Neurospora crassa OR74A: one gene and its partners. The protein of the gene in region 4 interacts with the protein of the main gene of each other region in a biochemical or structural test. Links are inferred from orthologs where the notes say so. Each region holds a gene or a part of one and is shown on either strand. Other genes may lie near its edges. The genes, in order: NCU08811, NCU03732, aod-2 and prk-10.

What was found.
Region 1: of the proteins of prk-10 (region 4) and NCU08811, one has a biochemical effect on the other in vitro, tested with the Saccharomyces cerevisiae proteins (2 studies listed by BioGRID). The link is inferred for Neurospora crassa OR74A from reciprocal best matches to the Saccharomyces cerevisiae genes SNF1 and GLO3.
Region 2: the proteins of prk-10 (region 4) and NCU03732 form a complex in vitro, tested with the Saccharomyces cerevisiae proteins (2 studies listed by BioGRID, with this or other methods). The link is inferred for Neurospora crassa OR74A from reciprocal best matches to the Saccharomyces cerevisiae genes SNF1 and SIS1.
Region 3: of the proteins of prk-10 (region 4) and aod-2, one has a biochemical effect on the other in vitro, tested with the Saccharomyces cerevisiae proteins (3 studies listed by BioGRID, with this or other methods). The link is inferred for Neurospora crassa OR74A from reciprocal best matches to the Saccharomyces cerevisiae genes SNF1 and RDS2.

What each region holds. Positions count from the first base shown.
Region 1 is NC_026504.1:5,157,733-5,162,203, forward strand, and holds NCU08811 (arf GTPase-activating protein), read right to left. Parts: upstream 3,020-4,471; 5' UTR 2,684-3,019; coding exon 2,612-2,683; intron 2,535-2,611; coding exon 2,399-2,534; intron 2,327-2,398; coding exon 2,143-2,326; intron 2,050-2,142; coding exon 1,292-2,049; intron 1,211-1,291; coding exon 870-1,210; 3' UTR 545-869; downstream 1-544. Other genes in the region: NCU08810 (mitochondrial import inner membrane translocase subunit tim-21), read left to right, coding at 3,374-3,682, 3,753-3,998, 4,086-4,286. UniProt on the Saccharomyces cerevisiae protein: GTPase-activating protein for the ADP ribosylation factor (ARF) family. Involved in retrograde vesicular transport from the Golgi to the endoplasmic reticulum.
Region 2 is NC_026505.1:2,238,433-2,242,902, forward strand, and holds NCU03732 (SIS1), read right to left. Parts: upstream 3,010-4,470; 5' UTR 2,575-3,009; coding exon 2,495-2,574; intron 2,332-2,494; coding exon 1,590-2,331; intron 1,515-1,589; coding exon 1,221-1,514; 3' UTR 462-1,220; downstream 1-461. Other genes in the region: NCU03733 (hypothetical protein), read right to left, coding at 3,996-4,470. UniProt on the Saccharomyces cerevisiae protein: Required for nuclear migration during mitosis. It is required for the normal initiation of translation. Might mediate the dissociation of a specific protein complex of the translation machinery. Essential for viability.
Region 3 is NC_026502.1:1,002,704-1,007,295, reverse strand, and holds the start of aod-2 (alternative oxidase-2), read right to left. Parts: upstream 3,025-4,592; 5' UTR 2,467-3,024; coding exon 2,310-2,466; intron 2,227-2,309; coding exon 2,204-2,226; intron 2,020-2,203; coding exon 2,002-2,019; intron 1,935-2,001; coding exon 1,619-1,934; intron 1,544-1,618; coding exon 744-1,543; intron 676-743; coding exon 479-675; intron 396-478; coding exon 353-395; 3' UTR 1-352. Other genes in the region: NCU03354 (hypothetical protein), read left to right, coding at 4,226-4,592. UniProt on the Saccharomyces cerevisiae protein: Transcription factor which regulates the expression of genes for gluconeogenesis, the TCA cycle, and glucose metabolism. Involved in the cell wall remodeling process and drug resistance.
Region 4 is NC_026505.1:1,659,774-1,664,424, forward strand, and holds the start of prk-10 (protein kinase SNF1), read right to left. Parts: upstream 3,140-4,651; 5' UTR 2,660-3,139; coding exon 2,244-2,659; intron 2,159-2,243; coding exon 1,323-2,158; intron 1,055-1,322; coding exon 413-1,054; intron 356-412; coding exon 81-355; 3' UTR 1-80. Other genes in the region: NCU11040 (DUF92 domain-containing protein), read right to left, coding at 3,787-4,651. UniProt on the Saccharomyces cerevisiae protein: Serine/threonine protein kinase essential for release from glucose repression.

The DNA of each region.
Region 1 (4,471 bases), on a different chromosome or scaffold from region 4:
TCTTGCTTGCGCCTCAGAAACACCGTATTGTAAATCCGAAAGCAGGGCACATCATCTAGAGGTCTTTATTTGCAAAGACTTCAACGAGGATTGTGGACTGCACAGCATGGACCAAGTGGTAAAGTGCAAGTGACCACTGCGCGACTGACGATTCTTCCCCCCCCCCCCCCCCCCCCCCTTCTCCCTCCTCCTGCAGGAAAGGGAAAAAAAAAAAAAAAAAAAAAAAAAAAAGGGGGCCGAGAACATTAGGTCAATAAAAAAACAAAAACAATCGCAAAAAAAGAAAGTTTGGTTCATGATCCGACCCAGGCTCGATCTGGGGACCTTCAGTGTGTTAGACTGACGTGATAACCAACTACACCATCGGACCAGCTGTTGTTATTGATAGAATTACGCTGAAGGTAGGCCCTATATCAGTAGCTTCTATTATGGTTGCGCGAGTCAGTTATTAGCAAAAATCTCGCTGAAACCCTGATCAACATCACGATCTCTCCCTGTCAACCTCGACTGCCACCGTAATCGAAAAACCGTACGCTATAGAACACCATCATATCTCTTTCTTGTTGCTTGAATACTTCCCGTGGTCACTTACCAAGATCCCCCTACGCCACGGATGTGAGAACAGCTCATCCAGATCCTGGCCGTCATCCTCTTCGTTAGATATCAGAAACCCGCATCATCTGCCCAGACTACTAGTGCTCTCTACCATAAAACATTCATTCACCATTACACTACAAATACTAATTTTTACTAAAAGGAAGCCTTACCCGCTCGTCCACATCTTTCTGTCTCATAACTAGGTAATTCCCTTCGCCCATCACGTCCAGCTGCCCACCCACACTGCTGCCTCATTCTTCCATTTCCACCGCTCAGCTCCCAAGATAAGCCCTGATAGCACCCTGCAACCTCCCGGCACCCTCACCCACCATCTGCGTAAGGTTCTCCAGATCATCGCTGGCAGTGATGCCAAACTTGCGAATGAAGTCCTTGGCGGCAGACTCGAGGTCGCCGTAGTCTTCGGCGGGCGCGTCGTCCTCGGGACGACCAAAGTAGGCATTGGAAGAGATGGCCTGGGCACCCTCGAAGCCTTGTAGACGGGCCTTGGTCTCGGCCTTGACCGAGGGGTCGTAGTTGCCCTTGTTGAAAAACTCGTCCGAAGAGATGGCCTTTTGGTTGGCGAACTTGTTGCGGGCGTATTGTTCTTCGTCGGCTGTTTCGTATCGATGTTGGTTAGTATTGCGTAAGAAAAAGAAAAAAAAAGAAAGGGAAAGGAGGGAAAAAAAAAACATACCCTCACTAGCCTTAATAGGCCCAACACTTCCAAACCCACCCGCATTCTTCTTCGCCGCCGCCGCTCCTCCCGCGCCCGCCGCAGCACCAGCACCACCGGGCTTGCCCACCATACCGAAACCCAGCTTCCTGACACCCATACCTAGCCTCTCCACCTCAGCAGCCGACTTCTCCTGCGCCGCCGACCGCGAACTGGAGGAGCTGACTGGCGCCGCAGCAGGGGTGATGATATTATTGGTCTTGGTCTCGGCCTTCTTCGCCGCCTTCTCCTCCTCCGCCTCGGGATCGTAACCCAGCTTCTCGATGCGCTCCGCCTCCTCCTTGGCCTTCTTCTCCGCCTCGTCGAAATCGATCAGGTCCGCCGAAATCTTCTTGACGCCCAGCTTAGCCGCGGGCTTCTTGGCGCCTAGGATGCCGCCGCCCACCTTGCGCGGGCCGCCGGTGGTGCTGCTGCCGGGGGTGGTTTTCCTTAGGGCCGCGGAGGTGGTGATGCGGCTGGCGGCGGGGGCGGGAGTGGGAGCATCGGAATCGGTCTTGGAGAGCGGCGAGGAAGTGCGCTGGATGTCCTTGCCGTTGCCGAGGAGCGGGGAGGCGGTGCGGCCGATGACGGGGGGTGTGGAAGTGCGGGAAATGGGTGGCGTGGGCTTCTTGATGGCGGGCTTGTCCCACGAGGAAAAGAAGTCGTCGTCGGGCTCGCCGGCCGGGGTGTTGCTGCTTGTGGCATCGTCACCGTCGGTGATGACAACTTCTTCGGGGTATCTGGGTGGGAGGTAAACAGCGCGTCAGCATTGCATTTCATGTAACGTGGAATAAAACAGGTTTGTGTAAATGAGGGGTAGGGGCATTGCATACTCGCGGGCGTCCCTAGCAGCCCTCTTCTTGAGCTCCTCCTTGTACTTGGTCGCGGCAGCAGATTGGTACTTGGTCTTGGGGTCCTTGCTGTTCAAGGCGGCGGAACCACCGTTTTGCTGAAAGAACTTGGTTGCCGACTCATTGCCGCCCACCTTCATGATCCGTAGCTGGTCCCATTGCCATTCTGTACAAGAACAAGGTTCGCGTTAGCGGGCGAGGTGTCGCGTCGTGGAGTAAAGATCGAGAGGGCACATACGGTCGAGGTTAGTAGACCGCACAAAGGAAATGTGAACGCCGAGGTTGCGGTGGTTGGCCGAGCAATCGAGGCAGAGGTAGATGCCAAAGGGGACCGAGGTCCATGTTGGGTTCTTTTGGCCGCAGTCGAAGCAGATCTGTTGTTCGCGGGAAGGGAGGCAGCAGTTAGCTTTCTGGATGTCTAGGGTCGATCGCTGCTCGCGTGGGCACATACCTTGTTGGCTGGCTTCGCCTTGAGCTTCTCAAAAAGCTTGAGCGACTGCTGCTTTGTCGCGAGACCGCTCATCTTGTCGGTCGGCAGTCCGGTGATGGTTCGGATTAGGTATGTCTGTCCTTTGCCAGGGTTGTGATGTGTCACTAGATCTCGACTGTCGTTGTTGATGACCCCTTTGCTCGGTTAGGTTGTCAGGGTCGGTAGGTCGGTGCTGCCGTCAGGGGGGGGAAGGTGAAAAAGGGGGCAGAAGAGGGAGAGAAGTCAAACAAGGCGGCGCTGTAGGTTTTCGGGCTTGTTACAAGTTGTCAATCTTTCAAGTGTTGTCATTCGCTCGCAGTTAATTCAGGAGACGGGGGGGGAGCCCCAGCGGAGAGAGCCGGGCTGCCTGGCAACCTACCTACGTACCTGTATGGTATTGGAACGTCCACTGGAACGTTGGGCCACATTTCTTTGTGTTCCCCAGCCAAGAATCAGACGCTTCCACTTGCTCATGGAGGTTCGCCCTTCCATGTGGCATCTTGGCGCCTTGGCACACAGTCCCGTCTCTACCTAGTGGAGCGCAACACGAACCCGACTCCACCCCTCGCCGGACGGACCTCCTCTGCCGGGAAAGATGCCGTGCCGGCAAACGGTTCCAAAGCTTCATCCAACCGCAGCTCATCACAGCTTCGTTCGGACCTCTCATTCTCATTGAAGCTCTCATAACAATCGCAAACGGCTGAAACATTGCCGTTGAAATATGGGTGTTGTGTTGAAGCCTCCATGATGAAAATGCTCACAGGTACTTCGGCGGGTGTGAGGCTTCTTCTGAGCCCCGCCGTGGTCCGTCAACAAGCAACCATTACCACAGCAGCTTCGAGAGCTCTTCCTCCGACAGCAGCTAGCGTCATTCTCGTCTCATCGCGCCGGCAATATGCGACTACGCAAGAAAGTTCCAAGAGGAGATCCGTAACGCCCTTCAATGATGATGGCCATGTGCCCTGGACTCGGCTCTCCACCGGTGAAAAAGCCGGGCGCGCCGTCCAGCAAACGTTCAACTTTGGTCTGGTGATTTTGGGTGTGGTTTTGACCGTACGCTTTCTTCTTCCCAATTCATCGCTCACTCCGGTGTGTTGTGTGTAGTACTAACTCTACCACACAGGGAGGAATTGCCTACCTACTCTTCACCGACGTGTTCTCCCCAGAGTCCAAAACCGCCTACTTCAACCGAGCCGTTGACCGGATCCGTGCCGACCCTCGCTGCGTCGCCCTTCTTTCGCCCGGCGACCCAAAGAAGATTGCTGCTCACGGCGAAGAGACACACAACAAGTGGCGCCGGGCGCGGCCGATCGCGGCAACGGTCGAGAAGGATAATAGGGGTGTGGAGCATCTAAAGATGCATTTCCATGTTCGTTTTACTTCTTCTTCTTCTTTTTCTTTCCCCTGTTTTGTTAAAAATTTGTTGTGATGATGGGGCTAACACCAAGAAAAACAGGTCGAAGGACCAAGAGGTTCTGGTGTCGTCGGGCTGCATCTGACCAAGCAACCAGGTCACTGGGAGCATGAGTACCAGACCTTTTACGTGGATGTGAGGGGACATCAGAGAATTTACTTGGAGAATAAGGAGGCAGAAGTGGCGGCTGCTAAGAAGGGTGGCAACAAGGAGTTCAAGTTCTTGGGTGTCAAGTGGAACTGAAAGGCTTCCATTCGCTTGTATGAATATTGTTCAAGGCTGCTGGTCATTGTTGCAATGATGAACGGCGATGCAGTGAAATATGGGTTTGCCGGTTAGTCTTGTTTCTTTCAATGAGTATGTTTGTTATCTTCGGTGTGTCATTATGATGCGTCATGGAGGCTTAGCATCGCACGTTGGATATGAGA
Region 2 (4,470 bases), about 580 kb from region 4:
AGAAAAACAAATGAAACAGAAAGCAGTATAGGTAAGCGACAACGCGGGAAAGGTAAGACCGAGTGGTCACTTCCGCTTCCGCTCATTCTCCCATTATGCCGCGTTTCCCGATCGACCAGCCAGCCGGTTATATGTAATCCTTGGCTTGGCGGGGTGTTGGAATGGCTGTTGGGTAGGTAGACGGGCCGACCTAACAATGTCGTTGTCCCTCTTGTTTGTACTTTCAAAAATCCCGTGATGAGAGCCAAGATGAAGTGAAAAGTGGACAAGTTGAATCATCGTTCTTCGCAGTTGGATTCGGCCCCGCCGTGGCTTCCCCCCCTAAGATACGTACACGACTGTGTGTTTATTTGGCCAACTTGTTGTAGCTGGAACTTGCACATATTCCCACATGTCGCTCCGCGTCGTCTTTCAGCAAGTTATGGTTTCTCTCCAAGGTCAAGTCGAGAAAGGGAGAGATTTTCTGGGCACATTGATTTTCATTCTGTAGTAACTATGTCCATCTATCGGTTCTAGCCACCCCGCTTGGTAGTCTATGGTCACGATCAATTTTCTCCTCGTGTGTGTCGTTTGGTGGTGGTGACCGAGGATTGTCACCTTGAATCCATTCCGAGATGCAGTAGTCCAAGCCGTCTTCTATAAAAGATATAGCCATTTGATATCTAAGCCTGCTATGGTATTCCCATTGACGTTGGCCTCGCGTGTCTCTGGCTATTGTTGAACCTTGAGAGGACGCAACATGCTAAGAGAGACCAGCGCCCTTTCCTCTCCCAACATTCACAACAGGGGGCCTAAGAACTTTTGTCGGGGATACTCATTATCATGAAAATTGTCATCATCAGCTCCCACCACACATGCCGCCTAAACCAACAATACCAATCTCAATGCGAGCCTGACGCGATGAAAGCTGAGCACCAAAAGAAGAAACAAATCCAGTAACGCCCAAATATGGTGGACCATGGTCAAGAACCGCACATGGCGGACAGAGACCAAAGCAAATGCCCCCCGGGTAAAAAACAAATCCAACACGCCCACCATTCTACATACACTCAAGGGGGTGGATCCGAACAGGTTCCCGAATGTTGTCAAAGGCCGGCGTTAAAAGCTGTTCTTCAGGCCAATCCAAGACTGCTGGTCCCTTCCTGTTGAGGCGACAAGAAGGACAAAGGTATCCGAGAGTGAACTACCACAGAGAACCGATACTCATCGCTTGACCCCATTTAGAGGATTTCCTTCAGTTTTTCCTTTTGTTCAGGCGTCAAGCTGGTGGGGAACTTGACATTATACTTGACGATGAGGTTGCCCCGTTGGCCTGGTTGCTTCGAGATGGGCATGCCCAGGCCCGGATATACATCTTGGCTCCCAGGTTGTGTCGGGCCGGCCTTCTCAATGTTAATGCTCTTGCCGTCGATCGTCGTGATGGTTCTCTTCCACCCTGTCAATGCCTCCTTGAGGTCTAAGTCGATAGTATGAATTAGGTCGTTGCCGTCCCGAGTGAAAAGCGGATGTGGTTTCTAAAACCACATTGTCAGCTGGCCATTCCTTCAAAAAGGCAATGCGTGAAGAAAGGGAAGGGAGTTTATACGTACCTCTTCGACGACGAACACCAAATCCTGCTGGCCACCCTCTTCTTGATCACCAACACCCTTGAACCGGATTTTGCTACCCTTCTTGAGGCCGGGCTTGATTGGTACCTCCAAGACGGTATCGCTCGTCGTGCGCTTACCGGTCTCGTCAAAGGTCTTGCGCTTGATCTTCATTTTCTTCGTCGTGCCGTGGAACAGATCCTCAAGGGATACGGGTAAGGGGCGTTCAACTGTCGTGACTTCGGGTGTTGCTTGGCGGGCGCTGCGCATGTTGTCGGCGCCGCCGAAGGGGTTTCTCGCAGTTCGGCGCTGTCCTGCACCACCACGCGCAGCATTAAAGAGGATGTCTTCAAAACCCATTCCGCCCATGCCACCACCCATGCCACCACCCATGCCGCCGCCCATCTTTTCATCCCGGAAAGCATCCCGGAAGAGGTCCTCGGGGTTGGTAAAATTGAATCCATAGGAAAATGTTCTCGCACCTCCTCCGCCACCAGGCATGCCTCCTCCTCCAAAGAAAGAAGCAAAGCCCTCGGGCATGCCACCAGCTCCGGCAAATGGGTTTGCGCCGCCCTCAGTCGGGGGCGGGCCGCCTCTCAGGATAAATTCAAGGCCGAACTGATCGTACATCTTGCGTTTCTCGGGATCCGAAAGGATTTCATACGCCTGAGAGCACTCCTTGAATTTTTCGGCAGCCTCCGGGTTGTCCTTGTTCTTGTCGGGGTGCCATTTTAGGGCGGCTTTCCTGGTGAGGGGTCAGCAGGGGTCCACTGAAGGCTGTAAGAGAGGATGATGTGAATGCCAAAGTGAAAGAAGGATGGCGTAGGAAAGAGGAGATCTCTCCCTCGATCTTATACTGCGAGATGCGAGAGCAGTTATGTGGGGTTTCGGGTTGGAGATATGCTCACCTGTAGGCTTTCTTGATCTCGTCCTGGGTAGCCGTAGGGCTGATCCCTAGCAGGTCGTAGAGCTTCGTTTCCTTGACCATCTTTGTGACGCAATATTAGAGACGAGTGTAGTGTATGTGAGTCTAGTAAAAATGTAGAGGCTGTTTCGCGAAGCTTGATCAGAGCCGCGAAGTGTCTCGGCGGTCGTTAGGTGCAAGGGAGAACAATTAACCCGACGTGTTCTGTGTTGTTGTAGTGGTACGGGTAGGGTAATTAAGGTAGAGTGAGGTAGCGATGACAGATGCGTATTAGACGTTAGCGATTCTATAGCGCTCGTGGGTCCTTTGGATGGCTCGTAAAGCGCCTGTCAAAGTCGATCTTGATGGAATGCGCGAGAGCAAATTCGCAATGCAAGAGTAGGGATTTCAGATATTGAACAGAATTGAGATGCAACACAGAGTCGGAGAGGAAGCTATCACTTGGTGGAAGAGGGAGGGACAAGGCCATAAAATGCCTTGGCGAAGGGCGTGTGTAGCAGGAACAGGAGGTTGTAGAACCTTCGACCGTGAGCCTATCGGCTTCCAAGACCTGGAGATAGTGACGCAGGGCTCGCGTAGTGGGTACATGCTAAAAGTAGCGCCTGTTAGTAATCTTCATGTCCCCGAGCAGTTTGCTGCTGCAGGGAAAGAGTAATACTAACAATGTAAGTCCAGGCCAAGTCCCCACTAACTGATGCGGGCCGCCAAGCCAGCTAGCAGGAAGGGAAGCTCCATTAAGTAGTTGACCTTCGCTTGACCTCAGCGAAACTGTGCTAGCAGTCTGCTGAGCGGTTGGGACGCGTCCGGAGCACCTATCAAAGATGAACATCATCACCCAGCACCTTCGATGGGCTGCACATCACCAGATATTTGAAAGTTAGATCCAGCTCAGTTCGTCATACCAGTATACCCATTCGCCCGCAATCCCATTCTTCTGGTACTCACTCGCATCGATGAAACAGGATGGATTGCCGTAAATCATGATCGCGATTCCAATCAATCATCCTTACATTGTGCCTTATTACAAGGCAACGAAGAAGGTTGCACAACCTCATGGAAGCCAACAGCAAGCAACGGCCGCACTCGATCTTTTAATGACAGCCCCATGATAAGGAAAATCCGCGACAACTCCACACAAATGAGGCCTGGATAGCTCACCATAGAACTTGTAGTCAGGAGCAGATCAAAGTCAAAGCATGTCTTCAAGAACTTCTCCATATGAAGGATTAAACTAGTTCGTCAAATATGTGTCATCAACCACCAAGGAGAAGCAAAGCGGGACTCTATTTCTCGAATCACGACGGTACAGAGCAGATCTAGAACAAGTTAGACCTGAGGCCTACTGTCATGACTTTCCAAATAAGCCCGGTTGACCTGCTCTGATGACCCCTGACGAAGGCAAAAAAAAAAAAAAAAAAAAGGTGCAAAAACACGCCAAAACAAACACCGAGAAGAATAATCCACGTTGCTCGGTATGTCCTAACTCAAACCGCTTCGTACACATAGAGAGTCGAATTCCTTTCATCGGGCAGGAAGAACAGCCTCATCTTACCGTCCACGACAGCCACATCCATTGGATTCTTGGTCATTGCAGCACCATGTTCCGACACCAAGGTCACAGGAACCTCGTGTAAAGGAACCATAGTTTCCATGTCCACTATCGCGATACCGCCGATTCTCGTGTTCGCCAAGTCTGCAACGCCAGAGCATAACATCACTGGCCGGGTCTCGTAAAGCTCGTAACGACCCAGGAATTTGCAATCCTGATAGTCAATGAAGCTGCTCGGATTCCTGACCACTGCCCGCGGCTGAGTGAACTTGGCGGGCGCCAGATGCTTGTCGTGCCCGTTCCAGATCGACGCTTTGCGCGACCCCCAGTTCAAGGTGACTACAGTTCCGGACTTTGTGTCGTGGACCGCTCCTCCCTGGTGGTCTGCAACGCTCAAGATGGGCTCTGGT
Region 3 (4,592 bases), on a different chromosome or scaffold from region 4:
CGAAGAAGCGCCAGCCCCCCTTCTGTCTTTCCGCGGAAGGCACGACCTTCTTTTTGCCTTTACGCTGCCCTACTCCTACCGCCATTTATTACTAGTTTGCGCGAAATGCATATCCTGCCCACTAACGATAAGCATCAAGTCCCGTATCGAGCATGGCCATACCAGTAACGCTAATTAGGTAGTTCTGATGGATTGTCGCAAACCCATGTACTGTTCACCGCGCTTCTTATCCGACCAAAGCTAGCAATTGCTGCTCATGGGAAACAAGTGTCGCATTGTTCATCCGCATTGCGGATCACAGGAGCACTGATTTGGGAAATATATGTTGTGGCAGAGTGTATACTAAACACTGTCATGGGTCGTGTGGGAGGAAGTTGCCAACAATCAAGCTCGGACTACATGTACCTGTTAGCCTCACCACCATACCACTTTGCCTGTAACAAACACAGGGGATCCGTGAAAAACAAAAGACACTTACATCTTGTGATCGTCCCTACGGATCCTGAAAGAAAAGCAACAGTTCACAACTTTGGTCCCCTTGTCATCGTTGGGGTTCTTGAGTGAACACGCTGTGATCAGGGTATCGTGAGCCGGGTCGAATGCTATTGTGCCGAATTCTTCCCAGTATCTCACGTTCGACTCTTCCGTCAGGATCTCATGCAGGGCGATTTGACCCTAAGCAAAACCAAAGTCAGCATCATAGCTAATATTCCACGTCGGCGCATTGGTGCTGTGTCTCTTACCCCTCGTAAACTCTCTACTGGCACGCCTATGAGCTCCGCCATCTCTTTGTTTCCCCTGAAAATCTGTCCGGTTCGTCTCCAGCAGCAGGCTGGAACGGCCATACTGGCAAAAACTCGGTCGTACTCCAACAGCGTCCTCTCGAACCACATTTCCACCATCAGCAGGTCCATATCAGTCAACAATTGTATCTTCTCGCGGAACTTGGGTCGAAATCGGTCGATCTGCTTTAGAATCTTTTGTTTTGACGTCGGCGACACGTGTCCATCCAGGTAATCCGATAGCCTCTTATAGCCAAGGATGTAGTTGAACGGCTTTAATAGTCCGGCTTCGTACTTGGCTCGTAGCAAGCGCTGCATGCGTTCCTCCGGTGTGTCGTTTCCGGACGGATCTGCCGCTTGAAGATAGTATGCATCCCGGGCATTATCCAAGTTTGTACTCGCGGGCTTCCCTATCGCCGTTGTTTGGTCGCTACTTGGTGGTAGCATCGAGGTCCCCTGTGTGGCACTTGGGGGGAGCATGCCGCTGGTGCTGCTACTGTTTCCCTTGTTGTTACTGCTAGCATTGTTGCCGTTGTTATTGGCATTTGGCAATCCCGACACCGCAGACTGGTTGGCCCCCAATATTAGGCCATGATCATCAGACATGAAGGCCGACTCCTCGAGCAAGCCTGCCGACAAGAATTCGTTCAATAGATTGAATTCATTCGTAACCTCTGGTGCCACCATGTAGTTTGGATGGAAGTTGTGCATGTCGTGATAGTGGTTTTGAGTGGTTAACCAAGAATCCGGAAGTCCGGCAACTATGTTGGGCAATTTCAGCAACTGACTGACCATAGTGGAGAAAGGCAAAAGGAGGATCCAGCGCCAACACTCACATTGATTCATGCTACCGCCAAGGGCGCTGGCTTGTATACCAGCAACAGAACCTGGTTGCACGAGCTGGAGAGGAGCGCCCCGGCCTACCGCTGCAGCACCTGCTACCTGGACAGATCCATTGCCCATACCGCTATCAAAACCGGGTGGTCTCATGGCCTTGTCTGTAGCGTTGCGCCCAATGTCCGGCTGGGACTCGGAGTCATGTAGGGTCGAAGTCCCAAGCACGCTCTTGGCCTTGCGCGACTCGGTATCGCGAGGCTCATCGTGGCAGAGATGGCCGATGTTTCGCTTGATGCATCTTGTACAAGGTCTCTCCTATGAATGGTAACGAAAAATTCGTTAGCTAGAGCTCCACCTTGGCGAAGGGGGGAGGAATACATACAAGATCACACGTCATGTGCTAAGGCAGCCAAAACAACATGGTCAGCCACCAGGATAACTAGTAAAGTCTGTGTGTATATCGAGACCGAGCGGGGTCTTCTGCAGGACTCCGTACTATGGCAGTTACGGTAGCCCATGTACGAAGCCTGGGTAACTAGCACGGCAGGAGATGGGGTGTCGGCGGTGCATTCTGGTCGACTTACAGATCGGCGGCAGTAAAGGCAGGCTACAACAGGCGCACCAGACAAAGTTAGCAAGCTGGAGAAGAGCGGTCAAGTGATGTAGGCAGGAAGACAGCGGAAAAAGTACCATGATTGACCTTGCGGCGCTTCTTGGGCGCCTTTTGCACATCGTCAGCGGGCGTGGGATGGTGATCCTTGGGCTTGGTGTCGCTTCCGGACTTGGTGATGTCCTTGGTTCCCGCCTCTTTGCCGTTGGGCTTTTCCGTGGCTTCTGTTCCCGTCATTGCTTATCGAGTGTAGAGGCTCCCATTGGATCTGGTGGTTACGCAACGGCCGTTGAGTTCACTGCTCATCTAAAGCCAGGCCGGCGGCTCCTCGCAGGGGGATGGTGGCAGTTTAACGTTGATTCCGAGCCAGCCTTTGTTGTGGTTGTTCTTACACCTCTTTCCCTTAAATATGAATCTTCTCTTTTAACAACCTCGGGCGTTGTTGACGTTTGGCGGATGTTTCCTCCGGTATTGTTCTTTCCTTGGTGTTCTGCTCGGGTTCCCCGGTCGGTTGGTAAGCTCGTTTCGTTACGGTTGCCTCGGCTCGTCACCTTTCGTCCAAGTCTCAAGTGTATAGGTAGGTAGCGGTCGCGTTCCTTTGTGGTTATGGTCCGTGACTGCGTCGTTCGCAAGTGGTTACGGGCTCGGTCATGCGACTGCGATGAACATTGATTCAAGACGGCAATGGTCGTCGACTGGCGGCAGCAGTACGGCAGGATTCTGGCGGTTCGTCTCGGGAAAATGGCTCTCTTGTCAAAGTTCCGTAATCGATACTTTTTGTTTGCCGGCACCGAGGGAGCCTCATTGGCCTCCACTGTCGCGCAAGCTCAATTGCATGCGGCGTCTCCCATGTAATGGAACCTGAAGGATGCAACAGACGGCCAGACCGGGACACCAAGAACGGCAGGGGTTCCTCTTGTCCGCCCGCCCTCATTCGCCAGGACCGCTGGACAGGAGGGGATGGACACCCACAGGTGCCTTGCTGCAGGGCTGGCCACAGTGTGTAACCCGCTGTAACTTTCCTTGCACACCTTCAAGTCGAAAACAGCAAGTGGGGTCCTGAAGCCTGGATTCGCCAGCTGATGAATTTCGAGATGTCGATGTTGAATGCTGAACTATAGACCGGTGTTTTACATGTACCGATAATATCACCAAGCCATCACTCAAAGGTATCCTTGTGGTCACTGTGGTAAATGAAGAGTGAGGACCAAATCAATCTGGAACTCAAAAGGGAACCAAAAACAACCAAGAACAAAAAGTTCAGTGCCCTTGTGATCATGCGTCCTCTTTCCCTTTCGGGAGCCTCCAATCAAAACCGAGGCCAATGCTATGACTTACATAATATCCCATGCTAACTTGTCCACGATTTGTCGGCATTTTAGTGCACATACGTACCTACTCCATGTTCAGTCTTTACATGTGACTCTTCTGCCGACCATCATATTCGTGTTGGGTTTACCTATTTGATCTATATGCCTGAATAACAACTCCAACGTTGCAGGAGCACATATAACGACATGAAGTCATGCGCAGCACTCTGTTGACTCAAAATGCAGATGGGTTCAAGTTCTTGATCTTCCAAGAGAACTGAAGCGCATGAGTCTTGCTCCGATTTCCCTGCAGAGATCCAACAGGCGGGCGATCTTTACCAGGCTGTGTCTAACTAGCCAGAGCAGCCAATAAGGGCCGTTTTGTTTCACAGCAGGCAGTAAGGAATCGTGAGCCTAATTGATGCAATAGGTCTAGAGCGGGGAAGTCTGTTGACCGCAACCAAGTGAACCTACCTCTGAGACTTCTACTACGAGATGGCTATCTTCGTCCCGACTAATGGCCTATCGCCTGGTCATAAGGGGGCTGAAACCCCATCATTATCACTCAGTTTGACATCCTGACATTCACTTCCCAGATTCGAGATCCTCAACTTCCTGTCGTGTCCATCGTGTACTCCACAACTCATCCCAGCTTTGGGGGCAATAAACTCAATTGTCAGCCAAATATGATCTCCTGGCATCGAGAAACGTGTGGTCGACCAGATGTCTATCTGGTTGACGGAGGCATACCCTTCTGCATGAGTTGCGATTCGTTGGCGCCTTTGGACGACCTGTCAGCCAGTCAGGTCCCGTCAAACCCATCAGTGCTTTATCATGACGAGACAAAGGCTCTATCACTGCACTGGCCAGCTTCTGTTGACTACGAGACTCATTGCTACGACTCCAATGGTTGCGATATCTCATCACAGCTTGCAGAGATTCTCGGTACCGAACCATGGGACGACAAGACGAGCAGGCCATCCAGCGAGCGGCCCTCAAGCATGAAAGCAAAAGATGGAGTTTCTTCTTGCGAACCATTGTCTTCAGGCCAAG
Region 4 (4,651 bases):
CTGAAGGCACGGAATCTGTGAAACAAAACCAAAGGCATGAACGTAGCGACCGCAAGCCATTAATTGATTGTCGGGGCACCTCAATCTGCGTCTGCCAACTGCATGATGAGTTTGGCCGCCATATCAAGGAAGGGGAAGGGGCTCGTGACTTCCTTATCCTCTAGAAGCTTTCCATCGGGGGTCTCGTACCCGTCTACCTTGAAATCGACAAGATAGACGCCGTGCTCCATTTCGTATATCTGAATCTCCATACGCATGGCCACAACCTGGTATTTGCTGTCGCTGCCATCCCGGCTAACATGCGTGTTCTCTCCTGCTTCGCTGAGGCCGGAGGCAACCGAATGCTTTTTGAGCTCTGACAGCCAATGTTAGCCAAACTTTGCCATTTGGGCCGGACAGACCGGAAACTCACTATCAGTTGTCCACCGAATCTTGATATGCCAGGGGTCCGCAGGAAGTCTATATGTCTTGGTGGGATCCATGCTGGATGATGACTTCTTGCGGGACCCGATACTAGGCCCATCATAGTCATCAGTGTCGTCATCGTCCCGGTGGGCTCTTTCGTAGTCTTCATCGACAATCCACCCAGCGCCAAGCTTGTTTAGCGCCTTGTAAATACACACCAGCGCCTCCCAAGGAGCGTTCCGGGATCGAATACCAAATTGCCATCGAGCAGGCTTGTTCTTCTTGGGCGGGTGGACGGGGGTAAGTCCTTGTGGGCGCTTGTTGGCCTCGTCAAGGCGAAGTTGACTCCTCGAATGTGGCTTGAGTCTTCGGATAGTCTCTTCTTGTTCAGCTTGGCTGCGCGGCTGATTTGCCGGCTCAACGATGGTGGGGATGGCATCAGGGGGCTCAAGACCTTCGGCCTTGGCCTTCTCTCGCTCCATAAAGACCCTGTGGTAGGTAGGAAGACTGCTAGGCAAAATACCGATCTTGCTGACATATGGCCGCGGTGAAGTTGCTGTGCTAACGGATGCGATCGAGCGAGCTGATGACATATTCGGGTCATGGAGCGGACTCGGGACAGACTCCTCTGTCGTGAGGCCTGGAATTTCTTCATCGGTTTTTAGTAGGGTATCCTGGTATTCCTCATTGGTGTTGCTCCAAAAGGACGATGGTCGCAAACTCAAGGATTTGCTTTTTTTTTGCGTCAAGCGATGTTCACCACTAGGCAAGTGTAAAATGGACGCCGAAGGAGGATGGGACGTGGCAAAATCAACTGCGAAAGAAGGACAAAACGGACGAGTATAGCATCGCAAAGGGATCGATAGGTTCCAATGATGAGAAGACAAAAGACTTGCTGGGAGGGAGCGTAGACTCACGGTTACTCTGCATCAGCTTGTTCTCACGCACGATCATGTAGGCATCTTTGATGGCCGAGGGTTCATCGGCCTCCAAGGCCTCTTCGACATCTCTCTTGCCGTAGCCCATGGTTTTACTGATCTTCTCCGTGACCTCATTATGCAACTTCTCCTGTTCCTGCGGAGGGGCATTTGGCGCAATGTCGCTAACCTTGATGGCCTTGTTGGGGTCCACGCCAGTATTGAGGAACTCCTCAACAGGAGGGTGAAGGTAAGCCGGCAGATCCTTGAGGAACCACGGGTCCTGGCGGATTTCGTCAATTGTGGCACGTTGAACAGGGTTGACAACCAACATCTTCTTGATTAGTGACGCCGCGCCGGGACTCATCCAGGTCGGCACCATGTAGCTTCCACGCGCAATTTTGGCAAAAAGACTGGGGATATGCTCGTCGTCGAAAGGGAGGCGCCCGACGAGTAGGACGTAAAGAATGACACCGCAACTCCAGACATCGACTTCGGGTCCTGCGTAAAGCTTGCCGCCAATGACCTCGGGAGCCGCGTAATTGGGAGAGCCGCAGCTGGTCTTGAGGAAATTACCGTCGGTCATGATATTGCTAAGACCAAAATCGGCAATTTTGACATTGAGATTATCGTCCAGCAAGAGGTTTTCGGGCTTTAGGTCGCGATGAACGATCTTGTGACGATGACAGTATTCGACGGCGCATAGCATCTGCTGAAAGAAGCGGCGGGCTTCGTCCTCCTTCATCTTTCCATGTTGAACAATGTAATCGAACAATTCGCCGCCGGCATACTCTAGCACCATGATGATCTCGGTTGGTGTTTTGATAACGGTGTACCTGGTATGCGCGCCGGGTTAGCCAACGTGTACGTAAAGGACCAGAGCCAACGTCTGCTGCGCATGGGCGTCGAGGGGTGCCTTACAGCTTGATGATATGGGGATGCCTTAGCAATTGAAGATACTCAATCTCGCGCTCTACGCGACCTTGCATGTCGCGGCTGATGAGCTTCTTGCGGGCGATGATCTTGAGAGCGACCTGCTGGCCGGTCATGCGATGGACAGCCAGCTTGACCTTTCCGAAGCTGCCTTCGCCGAGCGTCTTGACAATGTTATAGGCACCGATGCGCTGCTCGGTGCGCATCTTGTCGCGGAGGGGTGCGTCGGCCATGACGGCGTTGATATTAGGGTGTAATTGCTGACCGTGTTGACCGTATTCGTGGAGGTTGCCGGTACTGGGGCCGAAGCCTGATGCGCCATCGCCGGATCGCTTATTGCGACTTCGGATCTGAGAAGGAGACAAGGAGATGGAAAGCTCCTCGTCATCGTAGGCCTGTGCCATGGCAGACGGAGTCGCTTGCAACACAAGTGGACGACACTGAATCGCGGATGGAAGGTCGTTCGTTTCGTCTGACCAGATGTCGTCCGACTGGCTGGTGAAGAGGGTGAATGGGCAATGGAGGAACCGCGATGGTCCCTCGATTGAATCCTGGGAGCGGGAGCGAACAGACCCAAGAGGTTGGAGCTAATGAAGCTAGGGACGTCAAGTCAAGGCTCGGTGGGCTGTCTGTGTTGTAGCGTCGTCGGTCGATGTAAGGTACCGCCTTGCTTTGTTCAGGAGAACATCATGTATCGGATGCGCATTCGGTCGGTGTTCGGTTGTCAGCCGACAAGAATCAGCAATCGCGGTGGACGGGCAGCGCAGCGGGCAATCAAGTGGGTGTTGGAGCTGTTAGGTTCCATAGGAGGAAGTGGACAAGCGAACACTGCAGCGGGGCAACAATCCAGAGATGGTGTAATGGAAAACGGGGTGGAAGGAGTCGGGCGGGGATCTGGGGTGAAGAATGGGGGAATTAGTGGAGGAGTTGGAAGGATGCAGGGACGACAAACGGCAGCATCGCGGGGTCAGAGCGCTCCGGAAAGCGGCCACCTTAACTTAGGTACAACGGGGCTGCCGAGCCGGACGGAAAGTTCCATCATTCATCAGCTACTGTACCTACTTCATGTTTCGTTACTACCGCCTGGCTGGCCGAGGGGAGGTCATCCGGCTCGGTCACAGGACCATTGTCACAAGGCCGATAAAAGCCCTGTGTACGCCTATACGTGTCTACCACACATTATGGCCCAAAATGGTAGCAAGTCGAAATTACAAAGACTAGGTATACAACGTTCTCGTGTATAGAATACCAAAGGATTCAATTGTAAGCCAGGCTGGTCTTCGATCCCATGTACGGATCGCTGGTCTTGAATTGTGGATGTTTGGTACAATGAGAACCTCAATGGTCAATCGCGCCGGCTTTTGGTTAGCATCATCCGGATAGCGAGCAAGGTACCTGCCCAAGCTTCACCCAAAGCCGTGATCTGAATGTGTAATCAAAATGACGACTGAGCTCTCATATGTCATCCATGGAATTGTTTAGCTAGCCAACATCTCTAGCGAAAGTCATTCACCACCCACCTGCGACTGCCTTATGCCCACCATGGCGACAACACAGACTGCAGAGGAACTCCCCAATACCATGATGCGACGGCCATCGCTCCCACGCTCATGCCGAATGCCATCAAGAAGTTGACATCATTGTTATCAAGCAGGTCCCAGCCGTTCTCCACCACTCGCGACGGCCTCTCGTCTCCAAAGCTCGACCTCCGCTGCTTGTTGCGCGAATCGTACTTGTTACCGGCAGCGGCGCCGACATCCTCCACCGCATCCGTCCCCTCGCCAGACAGAAGAGACGACTTAATCTCAGCCTTAGTCCGACCGGCAACGTTGTTGGGGTTCGTAGCGTTGGTAACCAGTACCCTCACGCCACCCTCGCCCTCCACAATCTTGCCCGTACGCACATCCTTGACACTGGCCTGGAAGAGCCCGCCCAAAATGCTGTCCACAACGCTGCCCAAAAAACCCCAGACCGTGAGACCGAGAATCAGCATGCGGCGCTGTCCCAGTGACCAGCCCGCGGCACCGCCAAGTCTCGTAGCCGTCTCGTCAGTGCAAAGAGGCAGAAGAAGCATGGACGCCGTAACGATGATCATGCTGCCCAACAGGCCAGCGCCAAGACCGACGAGGGAAACGCCGCCGTTGGTGCCACGCGGTACCTTGCGCAAGTTCCAGCTTGTGATTAGGCGCGGCTCGCCCTTGGACAGAATGCCCAGCTCGGAGCTAAAGGTGTCGGCCGCAACACAGGCATAATTGGCAATGATACCAATCACCAACAAGTCGCCGCCCCAGGAGAAGCAAAGGCTACCGGTCCCTGTGCTGGTGGGATTAGCGATCAGCGTCTGCTTGCGCACATGCAGCTGATAAGCGTGGAGCAGAGAGAAGATGGAAGCCGTG